5 linked regions of the Ovis aries genome follow. The protein of the gene in region 3 purifies or fractionates together with the protein of the main gene of each other region. This does not show direct contact. Links are inferred from orthologs where the notes say so. Each region holds a gene or a part of one and is shown on either strand. Other genes may lie near its edges.

Region 1 (3,514 bases), on a different chromosome or scaffold from region 3:
GCCATCAAGGTGTTGAGGGAAAACACATCTCCCAAAGCCAACAAGGAAATCTTGGACGTAAGCCCTTCCACCCTGTCCAGCTGGGGGTATGGGGGACTGGGCTCTCTCTCTCTTCACTGGGGTTTTGGGGGACACCCTGTGATTCCCCCAAATGTCTACTCTTACCCTCCCTAGTCTGTGGGCCATGGTTCCGATTTGTGATGAATGGGATTGGGTTGGCGGAGGGCCCGTTATCATGGCTTAGCCCTTGGGAGGGGTGTGTGGTGGTTGGGGGTTAGTGGTTTCCCATACCCTCTCAGTGTGTGCCCTTGTTTCCAGGAAGCATATGTGATGGCTGGTGTAGGCTCCCCATATGTGTCCCGCCTCCTGGGCATCTGCCTGACATCCACAGTGCAGCTGGTGACACAGCTTATGCCCTATGGCTGCCTCCTCGACCACGTCCGAGAACACCGTGGGCGCCTGGGCTCCCAGGACCTGCTGAACTGGTGTGTGCAGATTGCCAAGGTATGCACTTTGGGGGCCAGGGCTCTGCAGGTGCCCTTGGGGAGCAAGCCTCTGGATAGGGAGGTTTCCTGGGAGAGTTTTGGCAGAGCGAGGTCCACACTGATGCCTCTGACCCCAGGGGATGAGCTACTTGGAGGATGTGCGGCTCGTGCATAGGGACCTGGCTGCCCGGAACGTGCTGGTCAAGAGTCCCAACCATGTGAAGATTACAGACTTCGGGCTAGCGCGACTGCTAGACATTGACGAGACAGAGTACCACGCAGATGGGGGCAAGGTTAGAGGAGCAAACCGAAACAAGGGGGAGTGGGGTCTGGCCCCTGGGAGAACTCAGACCTGGTTGGAGGACTTCCTTCTCTGCTCTACCAGGTGCCCATCAAGTGGATGGCATTGGAGTCCATTCTCCGCCGGCGGTTCACCCACCAGAGTGACGTGTGGAGCTATGGTGTGTGATGGAGTGGGTAGGGAGGGTGGACAAGGAGCCATGGCCCTGGGGAGAATGTGGGTGGAAGGATGGGGTGAACTGATAGACACCTTTGGTATAAATGTGAGAAGGAAGGAAGTGGCTGCCAGTGCCTCAGGCTGCCAGAGTGTGTGTGCTTCCCAGGGACTGGGAAAAGACCAAGTTATCTCCTGTCCTTTGGCATTGCATCTTTCCTCCTTCCCCCATGGTGCCAGGCTCTTCGGCAGAGCCTCTGAGGCTCCGTACACTAAAGCTGCCTCTGGTCCTCCCACCCCATCTATGCCCCAGGTGTGACTGTGTGGGAGCTGATGACTTTTGGGGCCAAACCTTATGATGGGATCCCAGCCCGGGAGATTCCTGACCTGCTGGAGAAGGGAGAACGGCTGCCCCAGCCCCCCATCTGCACCATTGATGTCTACATGATCATGGTCAAATGTACGTTCTTGAGCTGTGTTGGCTGCTTGGAGGAGGGGTGGGTGGTCCTGGGCGGATGGGCCTACAAGGGGCATGGGCCAAGAGCATGGTGATAAGGTTAATGGGTCTCAGAAGGCTCTCCCTGCCCTTTTACAGTACCAGTCCAGAGGAGCTAGCGAGGGCCAGCTAGGAAAAAAGACTGATCCAAAGTAAAAAGGAGAAACTGGTAGATTCTCCATCATCAGAGGGCTTTGGACTCTAGTGTTGTCTAGACTGGGCGTGAGGGTGAGGGGCGCTGCATGCAGGCTGCAGCCAGAACTGAGATGCCAGGCTCTTGCCCACCCCCAGGTTGGATGATTGACTCTGAATGTCGGCCGAGGTTCCGGGAGTTAGTGACTGAATTCTCCCGCATGGCCAGGGACCCCCAGCGCTTTGTGGTCATCCAGGTACTGAACCTTTCACCCCATCCCTGCCTATGGCTAAGAGCACTCTCCCTTAGAAGGGAGGAAAGGAAGAATGATTCCTGGGTCCCAGGCTTCCAAGCTCCTGCCTGACTCATCAGACTTCTAGCCCTCCCTGAGCCACCCCTAGGAGGCTGCGTACTGGGCTGGGGAGAGGCTGCCATGCGTCTCCCTCCTCCCCAGAATGAAGACTTGGGCCCTGCTAGCCCCCTGGATAGCACCTTCTACCGCTCGCTGCTGGAGGATGACGACATGGGAGACCTGGTGGATGCGGAGGAGTACCTGGTACCCCAGCAGGGCTTCTTCTGCCCAGACCCTGCCCCAGGAGCTGGAGGCACGGCCCACCGCAGGCACCGCAGCACATCCACCAGGGTTAGTGCTCCCATCGCATGGGGTGGGTGTCGTTGGTTACCTCCCGACTCCAGCGGACCAGGGTTCCTTCCTCCGATGTCCTCCAGCTGTTACCTCTCATGAAGGAGGCCCCATTTTCCCTAAGAAGGATTCTTACTGCTTTCCAACCGTGATCCCATTCTTTCTACCATGCCTCTGTCATACATCAGAGATGATTTATCTCCTGGGACTCTGTCACTTCCCATGGAACCTCCATCTCAGATCCATGAATGACCTCCCTTTTGACCTTCTCTTGTCCTCAGAGTGGTGGTGGTGAGCTGACACTGGGGCTGGAGCCCTCTGAGGAGGAGCCCCCCAGATCTCCGCTGGCACCTTCCGAAGGGGCAGGCTCTGATGTGTTTGATGGCGACTTGGGAATGGGGGCGGCCAAGGGGCTGCAGTCCCTCCCCCAACACGACTCTAGCCCTCTACAGCGGTACAGCGAGGACCCCACAGTACCCCTTTCTCCCGAGGCTGATGGCTACGTTGCCCCCTCGACCTGCAGCCCCCAGCCCGGTATGAAGTCAGGCTTGAGCTGAGAGGTGGGGATTGGGGGTGCTCTGCCCAGGGCCTGCTGCAGGGCAGTTGTAGCAGCTGGGACACACAGATTTCACCCTCTTACGATTCCTTCTCCTGTCCTTTCAGAATACGTGAACCAGCCAGAGGTTCGCCCACAGCCCCCGTCACCCCTAGAGGGTCCTCTGCCGCCTCCTCGACCTGCAGGTTCCACTCTGGAAAGGCCCAAGACGCTCTCCCCTGGGAAGAATGGGGTTGTCAAAGACGTTTTTGCCTTTGGGGCTGCCGTGGAGAACCCCGAGTACTTGGCACCCCGGGGCAGGGCCGCCCCTCAGTCCCACCCTTCTCCAGCCTTCAGCCCAGCCTTTGACAACCTCTACTACTGGGACCAGGACCCATCAGAGCGGGGCACTCCATCCAGCTCCTTTGAAGGGACCCCTACGGCAGAGAACCCTGAGTACCTGGGCCTGGACATGCCAGTATGAGCCAAAAGGCCAGGGCCACTGAGGCCCTGCTGAACCCTCAGGGCATGTGGAAGGCCTGACTTCTGGCCCACGTCGGCACCAGGCAGGGAGCAGGCCCTTGGATCACGTCCAGGGGAGCCTGCCATGCCAGAAATCTCCTTTCCTACTTCAACTCCTAGGTGGCTGAGAGCGGCCCAGCCTGACTTCTTCCAGACCCTTGGCACTGAACGACTTAGGGAGGCTGGGCCGAGTGCGAAGAAGGCCCCAAGGGGGTGTCTAGGAACTACAGCAACCCATTCAGAGAC
Region 2 (4,097 bases), on a different chromosome or scaffold from region 3:
CCCCGCCTTCGCCAGTTTATTCCTACTTCCCAAGTCCAGAGCCTATTTGCTCAGTTTGGGAAAGTCCCCGTTCTCCTTCCTCCTTCCTGCAGCCTAGGGGTATGGGGCTGGTGTCAGTCACTGCCAGTCATGTGCCTGTGGCCTCAGAAGGCTCTAGTCTCAGGGGTCCTGCCCACCTCTCTTGGACCTTATCTTCCTCACCATCTGCCTCTTTTTTTTTCTCCTCCCCAACGGAACCCCCTGCCCGCTCATATTCAGCCGTTTAATTGCAAAACCAGGCCGTTTGCGGGAGACCACAAGGCGGCGACCCCTTTCATTTACCGGCTGGGGGGCGGGGATGGGAGGGAGGTAAAGGACAGGCTGCAAAGAGAGGAACACAACCTGTCGTCACATCTTTTGAGCCGTCAGGGTCCTTCCCTCTGTCCCAGAAAATCCCTAAAAGCTTGAAAAGCATTTCCGCCGGACAGCAGCTGGCCGGGGTCGCTCCTCCTGGCCTTTCAAGAGATCCTGTGATTTCAAAGAGGCTGAATGACTTGCCCCAGCTCACACAGAAGCAGTCTGACAGGCTGCCAGGTCACTACGGGGACCGTACTGAGAACAGGCACTCTTCCCCCAGGCCTGCAGGGCTCCGGCGCTGGGAGGAAGTGAAGCCCCAGGGCTCGGTGCCCTCTGCCCCATCCCGGGGGAGGGAGGTGTGGGAGGGAGAAGGCGGGGTTGGGGAGGAAGGCGGGGGGGGGGGGGGGGGGGGGGGGCAGGGAGGCGGGTGGAGGACGGGAAGAGGAGTGGGAAGGAAGAGAAAGACAAGGTGGGAATGGTGGGGTTCCCCAAACTCAGAGTAGAAAGACGCTAGGAAAACCTTGCCCACTCAACCCTTGAGTGGAGTCTAGAATGGAGCCGGACCCTAGCTTCACGCAGCACCACAGCTCGCGCGTGTTCTTTAAACGCCTAGATCCCGAACGCCGCGCGCAAGGGAGGGCGGGGCTGGGCCGAGGTCTGGTCACATGACCTGGACTGAGGGGCTCGAGGCCCCCCCGACTTCACCGGTGGGCGTCCCCCACAACGCGTGGTCGACCTTCATTGGCCAGTGGTGCGGCCAATAGAAATCGGCCATCTGGGAACCCAGCGTTCCGAGGCACAGCCTAACATGCTGAGCCTAGAAGGGTCCAATGGAAAGGCAGGGCTATGGCCACAGACCAATGATAAAGTGAGGAAGGCGGACCAAGAGGCCGGACCAGGCTGGTTTGAGAGCAGGCGGGGTATAAAAGGGCACGGCCGGCGGCGGCGTCCGTCCCCACTGCAGAGCTGCTGCCGGACGAGTGACTTAAAGGGCCCGCGCGCCACCGCCCCCTCGGCCCGCCATGCTGCTACCCGTGCCGCTGCTGCTCGGCCTTCTCGGCCTGGCCGCCGCTGATCCCACCGTTTACTTCAAGGAGCAGTTTCTGGACGGAGGTAACGGCTAGTCCCGCTCGAGATCGTCCTAACGACGCGGCTGGCCCTCCGGCCCATATCTGCGTGTCGCTTGTAATTACTGCTCAGAGGGCCAACACGGTTTCCTTCAGGGACTGGAGCCGAAGGCGAGCCTTCCTTCGGCGTCCCTGGGGAGCGTGGAGGGAGCAGCGGCTTTCCGAAGCGGGAGTTAGGGTTTGCCCGAGGATCTTTTAAGTCACCAGAGATGTCAAACTAGAGGTTGGGGTGGGGACGGTCTGGGGGGAGGGGGGAATCTCCTTCCTTGCTCCCAGCAGTTTGTGGCTCCTGGTAGATGTTTGGTGGGGAGTTGATCAGCACCGCCGCGCTTACCTGCCTCTTTGATCCTCTAGACGGGTGGACCGAGCGCTGGATCGAATCCAAACACAAACCGGATTTTGGCAAATTCGTTCTCAGTTCCGGCAAGTTCTATGGTGACCAGGAGAAAGATAAAGGTAAGAACTTAGGAGTGGGTATTCAGATCCAGGAGGACAGAGTTTGGGTATCCCTAGAAGTAGGGGAGGTGAAGGAAGGAGGACTGGTGTGTATTTTACATCCTTAGGGTTCCCCGGGGGGTTGGTGCTGAGCCCTGATCTGATTATAGTCTCTCGGTAGGCCTGCAGACTAGCCAGGATGCCCGGTTCTACGCACTGTCGGCGAGATTTGAGCCTTTCAGCAACAAGGGTCAGACGCTGGTGGTGCAGTTCACGGTGAAACACGAGCAGAACATCGACTGTGGGGGCGGCTATGTGAAGCTGTTTCCAGCTGGTTTGGATCAGACAGACATGCACGGGGACTCCGAATACAACATCATGTTTGGTAAGGGGACTCCACCCTGGTGCTGATTTCTGGTCACTTAGAGGGAGTTTGAAACCCGGGGAGTTCTTTATCGCCCATGAACGGTGGTCTTGAGAGCATAGAAAACACTTACATGCTTTAGGCATTTCTTTCATAGGGAAGGTGAGGGAATAGTTAGGAACCACTTACTGCATTTTTATCATCGACTTCACACTAATTCGTGCAGTTTTACTATATAGGCATTTCCTTGTTCCTAGTTGTGCAAGTGAAGATTGTGAGTTCTGGAGTACTGATGTGTGGTTTGTTTTTTTTTAAGTGTCCTCCCCCAGTTCCTTAGAGAGAAGGTCTGAATTTTGTTTTTTCAGCTTGACAGTCCTGAGTTTAAGAACCAAGTTGTCTTTTTGTAATGGGGTGGGCAGGGGCTTGTAATGGTGGACAGACTGTAGTTCTGACCAAGATCTGCTTCTCACCAAGGCCCAGACATCTGTGGACCCGGCACCAAGAAGGTTCATGTCATCTTCAACTACAAGGGCAAGAATGTGCTGATCAACAAGGATATTCGCTGCAAGGTGTGCCTTGGGGGTGGTCACAAATGGCTGTGAGGGGAGGCTTTGAGCCCAGGCTGGTGGGCGGGGCCACTCATCTTTCATTCTCTTTAGGACGATGAATTCACCCACCTGTACACGCTGATTGTGCGGCCTGATAATACGTATGAGGTGAAGATTGATAACAGCCAGGTGGAGTCAGGCTCCTTGGAGGACGACTGGGATTTCTTGCCCCCCAAGAAGATAAAGGATCCTGATGCCGCTAAGCCTGAAGACTGGGATGATCGTGCCAAGATCGATGACCCCACAGACTCCAAGCCTGAGGTTGGTGCTTGGGCAGGGGCTCCCCACCATGGAGCGTGTGGAGGACAGCTGCTCCTATTCTGACCTCCTAATGTATCCTCAGGATTGGGACAAGCCTGAGCACATTCCTGACCCTGATGCTAAGAAACCTGAGGACTGGGATGAAGAGATGGACGGAGAGTGGGAACCACCTGTTATTCAGAACCCAGAGTACAAGGTGAGTCTGGCACTCTGAGGAGGGTGGTGCACAATGGGGAAGGCAGTGATCTTCGCTCACCCGTCAGTTTACTTCTGCAGGGGGAGTGGAAGCCCAGGCAGATCGACAACCCAGAGTACAAGGGCGTTTGGATCCATCCAGAGATTGACAACCCTGAGTATTCCCCTGATAGCAACATCTACGCCTATGAAAACTTTGCTGTTCTAGGCTTGGATCTTTGGCAGGTGAGACATGGAGGGAAGAGGCGGCTCCCTAGGGGACCTCAGGTGCTCAGGGTCAACCCAGGAGAAAAGGGGACAAGGGCGGGCAGACTCCAAAATGGTGCCCCCCCCCTTTCTTTTAAGAAATTCCTGGTTTGTCATTACGGGGTCTTAACAGCACCTGCTTTGGCTTGTACTTAATATGTTCCAGGTACTATTTTCAAGTATTTTTGTGGGAAGTAACTCAATTGCATCCAGCAGCCTAGAAAGGCAGGTAGATAACCCCATTAGAACTTAGCTTCACAAGGGCCGAATTTTTGTCCTGTTTGTCAATGTACTTTCTGCATCTAGTATGCTGCTTGGCACATAGACTGTACTAGGAAAGATAGTTTGAAGAAGAGAATGAGATCTCATTTTATAGATGAAGATACTGAGGTGCAAAGAGATGAAGTCACCAGCTCAAGATCATATATAGTAAATGGCAGAGCTGAGGTTTGAATCTAGGCAGCCTATTTTTCAACTGCAATGTTAGACTGTAGTATTGTGTAGTGGTTATGTGAGCATGGGCAG
Region 3 (3,514 bases):
TCTTGACAGCTTTTCCATACATCACAGACCAGTGTTGGCTCCATCACACTATCTTACATCCCTAGCGCTCATTTATAACTGGAAGTCTGTATCTTTTGGCCACCTTCCTTGAACCCAAACCCCTCTCCTGCAACAAGAAATCTTACCCCTTTTCCTAGGAATCGGGTACCTTATAACCTAAACAATATTTTAAGTAGGAGGATGAACCAGGCTTACTTTTTTAGTTTTTGGTTTCTTTTCGTCTTCTTCTTCTTCTACGGCAGCTTCATCATCAGATTCTTCTTTATCTTCTTTTCCTGCTTCTTCTTCTTCGGCAGGTTCCTCAACCGTTTCAGTCTGTTTATGTAGAAAATAGAATGATGGTTAAGCTAATGTTTCATAATTCTTGATTTTATTCTATAGGATATGAAACAAAATTACAGCTCAAAAAAATAGTCTTCAGTAAGAAAATACTGAGTATCCTGCATTAGAAGAACCACATTTAATCTTCATTCTTTCTGTGTTAAATAGTTAAATATGTCCAAGGTAATATAGATATATAAACTTTACTCATATAAATTTACCTTGCTGCTCCATACATAAATAGGAAAGTTTATGAACTGTGAATATTTTTTCACGAGGTTTTTAATTGTATCCAATTCAAGGTAATCAGATGCTTCTTCTTTTAAAACAAGGCTGCAAGGAAAATAAGACATTTAGAGACACGTCATTATTTAAAAGTTCTGATTATAAATTTGTGTAAATATTCATTTGACTATAATAGCCAACTGTGCATAACCCACAAAGTCCCCATTATTCATGTTAAGAACTCTTATCACCAATAAAGGTTTGTGAGCTAAATATACTAAATATGGGTATAGTAAAAGGAAGAATCTTTTTTGCACTCCCTCCCTCATGTGGAAAACATTCTTCATTATAAGCAAAAAATGAAAAGGTTTCCAACCTCCTCAATGTGCTGGATTTTTTTTCATTTGAAGAACAGAAATCTTAAGCTAGCTGAAGGTGGGAAGTTGCTGCAATATTCTGGAGAAAAGTAGAATCATACACATTCTACTAGCTTCCCTAGAAAATCAACTGATTACATACTGTAGACAGTTAACCCCTAATAAAAACACATTCCTTAAGAAAAAGCTAGAGGGCATCTCTGATGGCTCCGCAGTAAAGAACTCACATGCCAACGCAACAGTCATGGTTTTGATCCCTGATCCAGGAAGATCCCACATGCCGTGGAACAACTAAGCCTGTACATCACTACTATTGATCCGGTGCTCCAGAGCCTGGGCGCTGCAACTACTGAGCCCACGTGCCCTAGAGCCCATGTTCTACAACAAGAGAAGCCACAGCAATGAGAAGCCCATGCACCATGACTAGTAGACCCTGTTCACCGCAACTACAGAAAAGCCTGCGCAGCAACAAAGACCCAACATAGTCAAAAATAAATAAATGAATTTATTTTAAAATAATAGCTAGAACATTAATCTGAACTACTGTTTATTTGCACTAGACAAAACAGGAGCCACCCACCTGTTACATGTGATTATTTGTTAATAGTTAAAAGTCAGTTATAGTCAGTTATAGTCATAACAGTTAAAGTTAGTTCTTTAGTTAAATCGCCACATTCCAAGTCAACAGTCACATGTGGCAAGTAGCTGCCATACTGGACAGAGTAGTGAATGACCATGTCTACCACAGACAGTTCTATCAGGAACAGCACTGACTGAGATTATAATTATAGTACTGAAAACTGCAGCACTGCTTCCTCTTCTTCCTTACCACCCTTTCTGCAAACATCTCCTCCACCCACCAAAAATAACAGCCACATCATACTCTCAAACAAGTGGGTAGCCCATATCTTGATATTTGTGCTCCCAATAAAAATAGAGAATAAAAAAAAAAAAAAAAGGAGAATCCATGGTCCCCTCCTTGCCTCAAAAAGCGTATAGGAGTTTCCAGCAAGTACACAGTACGTGATGACACAGCCTAGTGAGGGGACTAAACCTCGGGTCTTGGAGTATACATACCTAGTGAGCCTAGGTTGGCACCAAGTTGTATCAGTTTTAGATGCGAATTGAAGCTGATGATTAGACATCTTAGTCAGGTATTCAAAAGGTAATTAGACATATAAGCCTAGAACCCAGTAGCAAGATCTAGACCAGGGGCTGGCAAACTCTGGTTGCCACTCACAAGAAATTTCATCAGGACACAACCTCATCATATACTCTATGACTGCTTTCAAACTATAGATAGGAGAGTTCTGACATGTTCATGAGCTGAAAATATTTACTAGCTGACCCTTTCATTAAAAGTCTGCTGACTCCTGATCTTGGCTAAAAATATAGATTAGAGAAGCCCGAGAAGGAGCCAGAGTCTGAATCCACAACAGTGGTTAAGACTGCATGATGGACACAGGACATAGAGGGCTAAAACTGCACTTCTGAAGAAAAGAGACCATCAACATGTAAGAAACAGGCAAAGGAAATTTAAAAAAAATGATGCTGGGTACTGAGTGGATTGTCTTAAGGAGTGAGCAGTAAAATGCAAATTCTGTAGAAAACACAAAAGAAAAACTCCAAAAAAAAAAAAAAAACAAGAGAGAGAAAGAGAAGCTATTGCTGGGGATCACAGCAACTAAAATAAGCATGAATCCACTGGATTTAGCAACAAGGAATATTGGTAATTTATTTCCATGGAAAAGTGGTGGATAAAGTCAAAATACCATGGGCTGAGGGGGGAATAGAAGGTGAAGTAGCAGCAAAGGCAAGTATGCTTTTTCGAAACACCCAACAGCAGGAAAGAAAATGGGAGAGCACGTGCCTGACAGCAGCACGGTGCATCACCTGCCTGCCCCCTCCTTCTCCTAGAGAGACTTCAATACATTTACACTTTGATGCAAAGAGGAAGGTGTTCAGCAAAGGCTGACTTTAAAAGATGCACTAGTAATTAATTCTCTCATCTCTGAGGAGATGGTGTGAGAGACAACAGATGAGAAGCAGTGACTAGCGTAAGGGAGAAATGTAGAATACGCCCTTCATGATAGGAGGAGGGGCAGAAGCCATTTTATGTTAGCATTTACAAGATGCTGATTTCATGATCTCATTTATGCTTCACTAAATGTCCCCTAAGTGGTGGCTCATTAAGGGTAAGAACAGGAGTAGGGAGGAAACAATTGTCTGACAGCCTCTACTTTACTGGTCCAATATTAAGATGAAGTAACATGTAGGTAGGGCAAGATCTTGACCTTGCTACTTCTTTGCCTTTGCTCTTTTCCCTTTGGCCATTCTAGACCTTCAGTTTCTCAAATGTGCCTCTGAAACTGTCCAATGTGCAGTGCTTGCTGCCTAGAACGTCTGACCCTAACTCAAAACCATTTCAGAAAGACCTTCTGATAAGGGGGTTGTCCCTTAGCTTCCTTTCTGGCATTTGCCATTCTGAAATTATTTCATGTGTTTTCTTAGTTGAATGAGCCATGTGAAAGGAGGAACAGCCACTGTCTTACTCTCCACTGTAGCCCTAA
Region 4 (3,970 bases), about 11 Mb from region 3:
GAACCTAGATTCTGTTATATAGAATGAAGTCAGAAAGAGAAAAACAAATACCATATATTAATGTGTATATACAGAATCTATGAAATGGTACTGATGAACCTATCTGCAGGGCAGGAATAGAGATGCAGACACAGAGAATGGACTTCTGGGCACAGTGGGGTAAGGAGTAGGTGGGATGGATTAACCGAGCAGCACTGACATGTATGCACTGCCATGTGTAAAGCAGGCAGCTGGCAGGAAGCTCCTGTACAGCGCAGGGAGCGCAGCTCGGGGCTATGCGCTCATCTAGAGGAGTGGGGCGTGGGGGCGGGGACAGAGGAGGCTCAAGAGTGGGAGCATATATGTACACATATAGCTGTTTCACGTTGTTGTAGAGCAGAACCTAATACAACATTGTAAAGCAATTATACACCAATTAAAAAAAAATAGAAGTGCCTGTGAAAATTGAGGCAGTGACGCAAAGCTGGAAATACGAGTCTTACACTTAGGGTCTAGGGCCTGGTAGACACTCTTGACTATACCACACAACCCTGCGCTCTTCCCTTAGACTCTGAGTTGTCACTGTCAGACTGTCAACGTCCCTCTCCCAAGACTCACCCGAACTTCAGCCTCCCGGGGCCTCCCATTGAGGTCACACTTGGACCCATTGCCATAGGTCTGGCTGTGGTAGCGTTTCAGGCGATGCTGCTTGGAGGCCTGGGGAGGACATCAGGCATGAGGCAGGGGTTTGAGAAAGACAGCAAGGAGGAAGAAAAGGAGCACTCGCTCCTAAGACGAAGCCCAGAGAAGCACGCCAGTTAATCCTGCCCCTCCCCTTCTCGACAGAGCTCTCAGTCTGCAGCCCAGACCCCTTCCTCTCCCAGTCCCGCACCCCTGCCACCTTTGCTGTTTCATCATCCCAGTCGAAGGCGGATTGGTAGTAGCCAAGATAGAGGACTTCACCTTTGATCTCTGAATCTGCAAGAGAGAGCACAGTGAAGCACTGTTACCCTGTTCTCAGAGGACTGGGAGGGAAGGGAACTGGGGAGGCAGGTCACCTTCCATGACAGGTTTCTGAGGGCTTAGGGAAAACATAGGTGGAACTCACCTTCCATATGGTACTGCTGGATGTGGCGTCCATAACAGAATTCATATGTCCACCAGTCCTTGGTCTGACAATAAAAGAAAAAAGAACTGTCAGGGGGATGGAATGCAGACATCTCTTCTTGGAAACCAAAATCTCTCCTGGCCTCAAAACACATAACCACTGATTTACTTCTCATCTCCTCCTTATTCTTAATCCTCCAGATTCTTGGTGAGGAGGGCTCTTTGTCTTCTGTAACTTGGAGAGAGACTTCTACAGCCTAGTTGGTTTACTACTCTCCTCTTTCTAAATATTAAAAAAAAAATTTTTTTTTATTTGTCAATTTTTTTTTAATCCTTCTTTGTTGTCCATAAAGATAAGAAATCATGATATCCTTGAAGCACTCAGACGAGGGAAACATGGAATATCAAAGTATTAATTGATCTTCCTTGTACTGTTTTAGTTACTGTGGATACAGCTGTGAACAAGATAAATTCTCTGATTTCACAGACTTACATTCTAGTACTAGGATTCAGACCAAAAATAAACAAACTGATAATTCAGTTAATAATTTCAGGTCATGAAAAGTTGCCATGATGAAAATAAAACAGGACACTGGGCAGAGAGTGACAGGGAAAGGGGTGACTTAACCAGGAAAGTTTCTCTAAGGGAGTACCCCTACTGCCTCAGCCTGACCCCTTTAAGCACCTCAATATTAGCTTAATCTTTATTCTGAGATTTTCTATCCTAACACTCCTCTATAATCAGCAAAGTATCATCATTGGTTACAGGATTCTTTGCTTTTTTCCTGTCTGTACAATATGCCTGCTCCTTCAATGGCCTTCTTAACACCTACAGATACTCTGATCACTCCTCATTCACAGACACACTGTGAATAGATAACAAGTTCCCAAATAGATAACTAGTTTCCATGCCCTCCTTCCCTCTATCCCAGTTCCTTTCACCTTCAGCAGGCAGGGAGCATCTTTCATCGGGCTCAACAACTCAGGGATCCCAGGCCCTTGGTAAGCAGGTGCCTCCTCCTCCCTTTCACGCTGGAAGTGAATAGCTCCAGCTGGCAGGCGACATTCATAGCGCTGCTTGTACTTAGAGGAGACAATCACCACGTCCGAAGCTTGGCTCTGGGAAAGAAGTGGGGGTCGGGGGACAGGGAGGCAAACAGAGGTTTGGGATCAGGGAGAACAACGAGATCCCTCTTCACATAATGGGGAGGAGTCCAGTCAAGACAGAGTGAGCCACAAGTCCTCCAGCGGTGTTCAGCGGGTGAGGGGAGAGGGCACTCCCACTTTTTCACAGGGGAGGAGTCTGAGTGTTTCAATAGGGAACTGGGACCTGAAGTTGACAGAGGGAAGCCCCACCCCTCCCAGTCCCTGGCCCCAAGGGAATGGGTCTTTGACTACGATCTTCAGGAATCCTCATAAAACCGCTGCTTACTCTTCCCGATTCTCCTTAGGCTTCCGCCACAAACTCCACAGCTGCCCTTTTTCCTCTACCTTCTCCTTCCCTTTCTGCCCAGGACCCTTGCCCCTTTACGCCTCCTCACCTGGCCTCCCATGACAGGCAACGGCAGTATCTCGATCCCATAACGCATCTCACTCAGCTCCTCCAGGTTCAGGCTCCCGACCCCGCCGGTCAGACTTGCGGGTAACAGGAGCCCCAGAAGTAGCAGTCCCAACAGACTGGACAGCAGCGTTTCCGCCGCCATCTTTCGTTCCCCTTCTAATCCAGAACAACTCCTTCCGCCCTAAACCTGGCGGCGGCCTCATCCCGCCCATAACGCCCCAAGGTCTTATTGGCGAAACTTTCTGTCCCTCTCACGTGCCCTATTCCCATTTGTCAACGTAGCTCTAAAGCCCACGAGGAGGTGTATCATGACAATTAGCAAAATCACTCGCTACGCGTGATTGGTTGAAGAGGCCAACCAATCACCAATGATATCGGACCCCCTCCTCCCCTCTCCCAGTTCCAGGGAGGCGCGGTCTACACGCCGGGCCCAGTTAAGCAGTTTTTTGTGTGTGTTTTTTTCTTTTCTGTTCTAGCCCAGCTGTTGTACGCATTTCTGATTGCTTTTTAAGTCATTTTTTGTACTGTGTCTGGCCGCCGCCAAGCGGACTTTGAGGTGGATGGGGGCGTGCACACAATACTCTTGAAAGCTACTTAATACTTGTTACAAAACAATTATTGTATAGTAGCATTCCTCTTTTCATTTTACATACATATTTAGGTGATCTGGTAATTTGTGTCAAAACCTTTCTGGACGATCCTGCAGTTGTCTTCCAATAAAAATAGTCATGTCCGACTCTGTGAACCCATGGGCTGTAGCCCACCAGGCTCCTCCGTCCATGGGATTCACCAGGAAAGAATACTGGAGTGGGTTGCCGACCCAGGGATCGGAATCGAACCCAGGTCTCCCACATTGCAGGCAGACACTTTAACCCCTGAGCCACCAGGGAAGCCCACAAAGAAATAATGGGAACTTCCAGTTGAAAACTGGGAGCTGGACAGCTGCGAGTGACAAACGTAGGTATTGTCTTCCAGACCACTTAGGAACAAAGGGAAAGGAGACAGCAGCAACATTTCAGAAGCTAGAAAGCAAATGGAGGAATGGGAACTGATTAAGTAATCCTGAGAAATTGATTCCTAAACAAACATAAACAAGATCATGACTATATCTTTGGAAAAACTTATCTGGAGACTCTGTCCCGCCCAACAGAGAAATCCCAAAGATATTTTCATCAGGGTTCTCTTAAAGAAACAAGATGAGGGAATCCTACATTTACGTCCGTGGCGGAGAATCCTGCACTGCAGGGAGATTCTTCTCTGTCTGAGCCACCAGGGAAGCCCTCGAGCCCTAGCAGGCACACAAGCTTTCCAATCAGTTTTTTG
Region 5 (3,514 bases), on a different chromosome or scaffold from region 3:
GAATTAAGAATTAAAATATTCTCAGTAGGATCTATTCTCTTGGTTTGCTTTCACACTTGCATGACTGGCCCTCAAATTCAACCCATATAATTTATCTTTGGGACAATATAACAAAGGTTGACAGGGAGAGCAATAAGTATTTTAGCAAATTTTGCTTTCCCTTTGGTAAGGATCCAAAATGTACCTTCATCTTTTGATCATCTCAAGAGGCAAAACAAACAGATTCAAAGATCATGTCAAACCTTTGGCGATGGCGGACTGCTGGCATCTGGCTTCGGTTTCGAGTCTTCTACCTCTTCAATGACGTCATCAAGGTCATCCTCAATGTCAATCACATCATCGTCATGTCCATCATGAGCTTGAACAAGAGCAGTTCCAAGGACCAGTAACATACACAGCAACCACTTCCCTTCCATGATCTAAGTATTTATTAAAAAAAAATACAGTTAATTGTATCACCTCCTTTCAAAAATTTTGAACCCTTATTTAAAATTAAGGCTTTCAAATCAGAGCTGAAAGGAACTTTACTGTATTTCATTTTATAGATAAAGAAAGTGAACTCAGAATAACAGGTTTTCCTAAAATCAGTTAGTTAAAAGATTCAATTTCAAGAAAAAATTCAAACTATAACTCAAACAATTGTCCCCATATAGAATATCATGTTGGCTACACAGACCTAGGGTGTTCAGATATAATTTCAAAATAACTTCTTGCATTTGTAAAGAGCTTTACAATAGACAAAGCCCCTTTTACAGAATAGTTTAAACGAGTTAAAACATTACAATGAAATAACAGAGGAGTTAACTTGCCTCACATTAAAGACTTAATTTAGATTAGATGCTGCTGTTTTTGTCCAAAGATCAAGAAGAATAGGTATGTTTTTTAATTAGTGTTTTAAGGGACTTCCAGGGAACCCTGTGCAAAGCAGGGGACTTGAGTTTGATCCATGGCTGGGGAACTAAGATCCTCCATGCAACAGAGCAACTAAGCCCAGAGCAAACAGGCCACAATTCGAGACTCCATGCTCAACAAGGTCCTGCACTAAAACCAGACCCCGCAGGATGCAAAGATCCCACCTGTCAGCAACTAAGACCCAATAAGCCAAGTAAATAAATAATACATCAGTTTTAAGATTCAACAAAAAAATATATTAAACCATGCTGCTGCTGCTAAGTCACTTCAGTCGTGTCCGACTCTGTGCAACCCCAAAGACGGCAGCCCACCAGGCTCTGCCGTCTCTGGGATTCTCCAGGCAAGAACACTGGAGTGGGGTGCCATTTTCTTCTCCAGTGGATGAAAGTGAAAAATGAAAGAGAAGTCGCTCAGTCATGTCCGACTCTGTGCCACCCCATGGACTGCAGCCCACCAGGCTCCTCCGTCCATGGGAGTTTCCAGGCAAGAGTACTGGAGTGGGGCGCCATTGCCTTCTCCGAAAAACAAAAAAATATATTAAACCATAGACCAACTATTTTTATCTCTTTTTTCTAAGCCTTCAAGTGTCTTACATATCATATCTGACTGTCATGGATGGTAGTCAATCCTCTCTCCAAAACCACAGATCTAAAGATACAAAAACTGAGCCACACGGATGCACAAAATGATTCGGCAGTAGGTTGTACAGAATTTTAATTCTGCAAGATGAAGAGTTCTCGAGACGGATGGAGGTGAAAGCTGTACAACAATATGAACATACTCAATGCCACTGAACTTGATGGTTAAGATGGTAAATCTTACAAGTATTTTCACTGCTATAAAAAAGATTTTATTAAAATAAAATAGCTTAATTTTTTGGTCACTGGTAAATCAACTTATTCTAATGCTGAATTTAACGCCTAATTCCTTATAAATGCTATAATCCTTTAAAGTGATTGATTATATAGAACTAGACTTTCATGTATCATTTGGCGGCATTTCCTTTATTTATAAAGCGTGGGTACTGTTTTCACAAAATGAAAGAAAGTAAGGCTCACTGGACTCCTAGGCAGCACAGAAAATAAAGAAATAAAAGATTTTTATAAAAATAAAAACTCACTCATCATCTTTCCTAGGACTGGTATTAGAGTTTAAAAACTCTCAATGTCAACATTCTGCTATGGCTTCTTATATACCAAGAAATGCCAGTAATTTCAATTTTTCACTGTTAAGGCTTCTATTCTCTACCACCGAAATCTACAATGGCGTAGCAATATCGCTTTGATTTACAACTACACTGGATTCTCTGAAACTAAACAGGCTGATTCAACCCTTTTATCTACATCAACTGTATACAACCTAAGAAGTCCTCACAGAAATAATGCTATAAATGGCAGTTGGGTTCCCAGGGATACTCTATAAATCAAATTAGCCCACAAAATAGTTAAGTCAAAAAGGCAAATGTGATAAGCCCAGTAGCAATTAAGTGAACCACAAAGCCAGTGAATTAATAAGGACTGTGCACTGATGTTAAAACACTGCTGCTCAAGGAAAAGCTAATCGGGGAGATGAACTAACTACTTAACTTTCAAAAATGGGATTCAGGTAGGGTTCAGTGAGGGAGAGTACAGCTGCAGAACAGGAAGACTGATTTTTTTCCCTGTATCTTTTAATTTACTGATATACTGCTGTTATGTTATGGGCTTGCAGATGGCTCAGTGGTAAAGAACTGGTCTGCCAATGAAGGAGACCCACATTTCGGGAAGATCCGCTGGAGAAGGAAATGGTAACCCACTCCAGTATTCTTGCCTGGGAAATCCTATGGAAGGACCTGGCAGGCTACAGTCCATGGGGTTGTAAAAGATTTGGTCACAAGTGAGCAACTGAGCGCACACACACATACAACATATACCGCTGTTACAGGCTTAACTGTGTCTCCTACCTCAAATTTGTATGTTGAAACTTGAACTCCCAACATAACTATATTTAGAGATAGGACCTTTAAGTAATTAAGGTTAAAAGCAGTCATAAGGTTGGGGCCCTAACTGGTGTCTATAGTAAGAGGAAGAGAACCAGGAATCCACATGCACAGAGGTTAAGTCCAACGAGGACACAAGATGGTGGCCCTCCGCAAGCTGAGGAGGAAGGCCACATCAGAAGCCAACTCTGCCAACGCCTCGATCACAGACTTCCAGACTGTAAGAAAACACTTTTCTGTTGTTTAAGCTGCCCGGCCTGTGGTGCTGTTGTGGCAGTCCAAGCAGACTAACACAATGCTCCTTGGGTTGAGTATAATGTCACAAGACAGCTCTTCCTAACTTGAGCGTGCCTCAGGGGGCTTTTTAAAACAGACTGCTGATTGAGTGTGTGCGTGCTGGGCCTTTTCCTTCCTATCAGGTTCCAGGGGATGCAAAGGTTGCTACCCTGAGAACCACTGACTAGGGTTTATGAATCATCAACTTGTGCTTTGTGTTCCAGTTTATAAAAGCACTTTCACAGTTACATTATTTTGCAAACCTCCCTTGAGGTATTACTAAGATGTAGTGAAATGAAAACAACCCAATCATTTACTCAATATCACAACCAATAAGTGAGAGTCAAA

Evidence for each region.
Region 1: the proteins of HSP90B1 (region 3) and ERBB2 purify together in Homo sapiens (affinity purification with western blotting; 3 studies listed by BioGRID and IntAct, with this or other methods). This does not show direct contact. The link is inferred for Ovis aries from reciprocal best matches to the Homo sapiens genes HSP90B1 and ERBB2.
Region 2: the proteins of HSP90B1 (region 3) and CALR fractionate together in Homo sapiens (co-fractionation; 4 studies listed by BioGRID, with this or other methods). This does not show direct contact. The link is inferred for Ovis aries from reciprocal best matches to the Homo sapiens genes HSP90B1 and CALR.
Region 4: the proteins of HSP90B1 (region 3) and OS9 purify together in Homo sapiens (affinity purification with mass spectrometry; 6 studies listed by BioGRID and IntAct, with this or other methods). This does not show direct contact. The link is inferred for Ovis aries from reciprocal best matches to the Homo sapiens genes HSP90B1 and OS9.
Region 5: the proteins of HSP90B1 (region 3) and CANX purify together in Homo sapiens (affinity purification with mass spectrometry; 4 studies listed by BioGRID and IntAct, with this or other methods). This does not show direct contact. The link is inferred for Ovis aries from reciprocal best matches to the Homo sapiens genes HSP90B1 and CANX.

Annotation. Positions count from the first base shown.
Region 1 is NC_056064.1:39,836,576-39,840,089, forward strand, and holds part of ERBB2 (receptor tyrosine-protein kinase erbB-2), read left to right. Parts: coding exon 1-57; intron 58-318; coding exon 319-504; intron 505-622; coding exon 623-778; intron 779-870; coding exon 871-946; intron 947-1,252; coding exon 1,253-1,399; intron 1,400-1,726; coding exon 1,727-1,824; intron 1,825-2,022; coding exon 2,023-2,211; intron 2,212-2,492; coding exon 2,493-2,745; intron 2,746-2,874; coding exon 2,875-3,230; 3' UTR 3,231-3,514. UniProt on the Homo sapiens protein: Protein tyrosine kinase that is part of several cell surface receptor complexes, but that apparently needs a coreceptor for ligand binding. Essential component of a neuregulin-receptor complex, although neuregulins do not interact with it alone.
Region 2 is NC_056058.1:10,923,581-10,927,677, reverse strand, and holds the start of CALR (calreticulin), read left to right. Parts: upstream 1-1,287; 5' UTR 1,288-1,358; coding exon 1,359-1,449; intron 1,450-1,817; coding exon 1,818-1,919; intron 1,920-2,079; coding exon 2,080-2,283; intron 2,284-2,736; coding exon 2,737-2,831; intron 2,832-2,921; coding exon 2,922-3,131; intron 3,132-3,213; coding exon 3,214-3,327; intron 3,328-3,407; coding exon 3,408-3,551; intron 3,552-4,097. UniProt on the Homo sapiens protein: Calcium-binding chaperone that promotes folding, oligomeric assembly and quality control in the endoplasmic reticulum (ER) via the calreticulin/calnexin cycle.
Region 3 is NC_056056.1:173,212,582-173,216,095, reverse strand, and holds part of HSP90B1 (endoplasmin), read right to left. Parts: intron 676-3,514; coding exon 564-675; intron 337-563; coding exon 217-336; intron 1-216.
Region 4 is NC_056056.1:161,965,334-161,969,303, forward strand, and holds the start of OS9 (protein OS-9), read right to left. Parts: upstream 2,806-3,970; 5' UTR 2,790-2,805; coding exon 2,628-2,789; intron 2,206-2,627; coding exon 2,029-2,205; intron 1,152-2,028; coding exon 1,088-1,151; intron 958-1,087; coding exon 872-957; intron 697-871; coding exon 598-696; intron 1-597. UniProt on the Homo sapiens protein: Lectin component of the HRD1 complex, which functions in endoplasmic reticulum (ER) quality control and ER-associated degradation (ERAD).
Region 5 is NC_056058.1:1,394,374-1,397,887, forward strand, and holds part of CANX (calnexin), read right to left. Parts: intron 420-3,514; 5' UTR 417-419; coding exon 243-416; intron 1-242. UniProt on the Homo sapiens protein: Calcium-binding protein that interacts with newly synthesized monoglucosylated glycoproteins in the endoplasmic reticulum. It may act in assisting protein assembly and/or in the retention within the ER of unassembled protein subunits.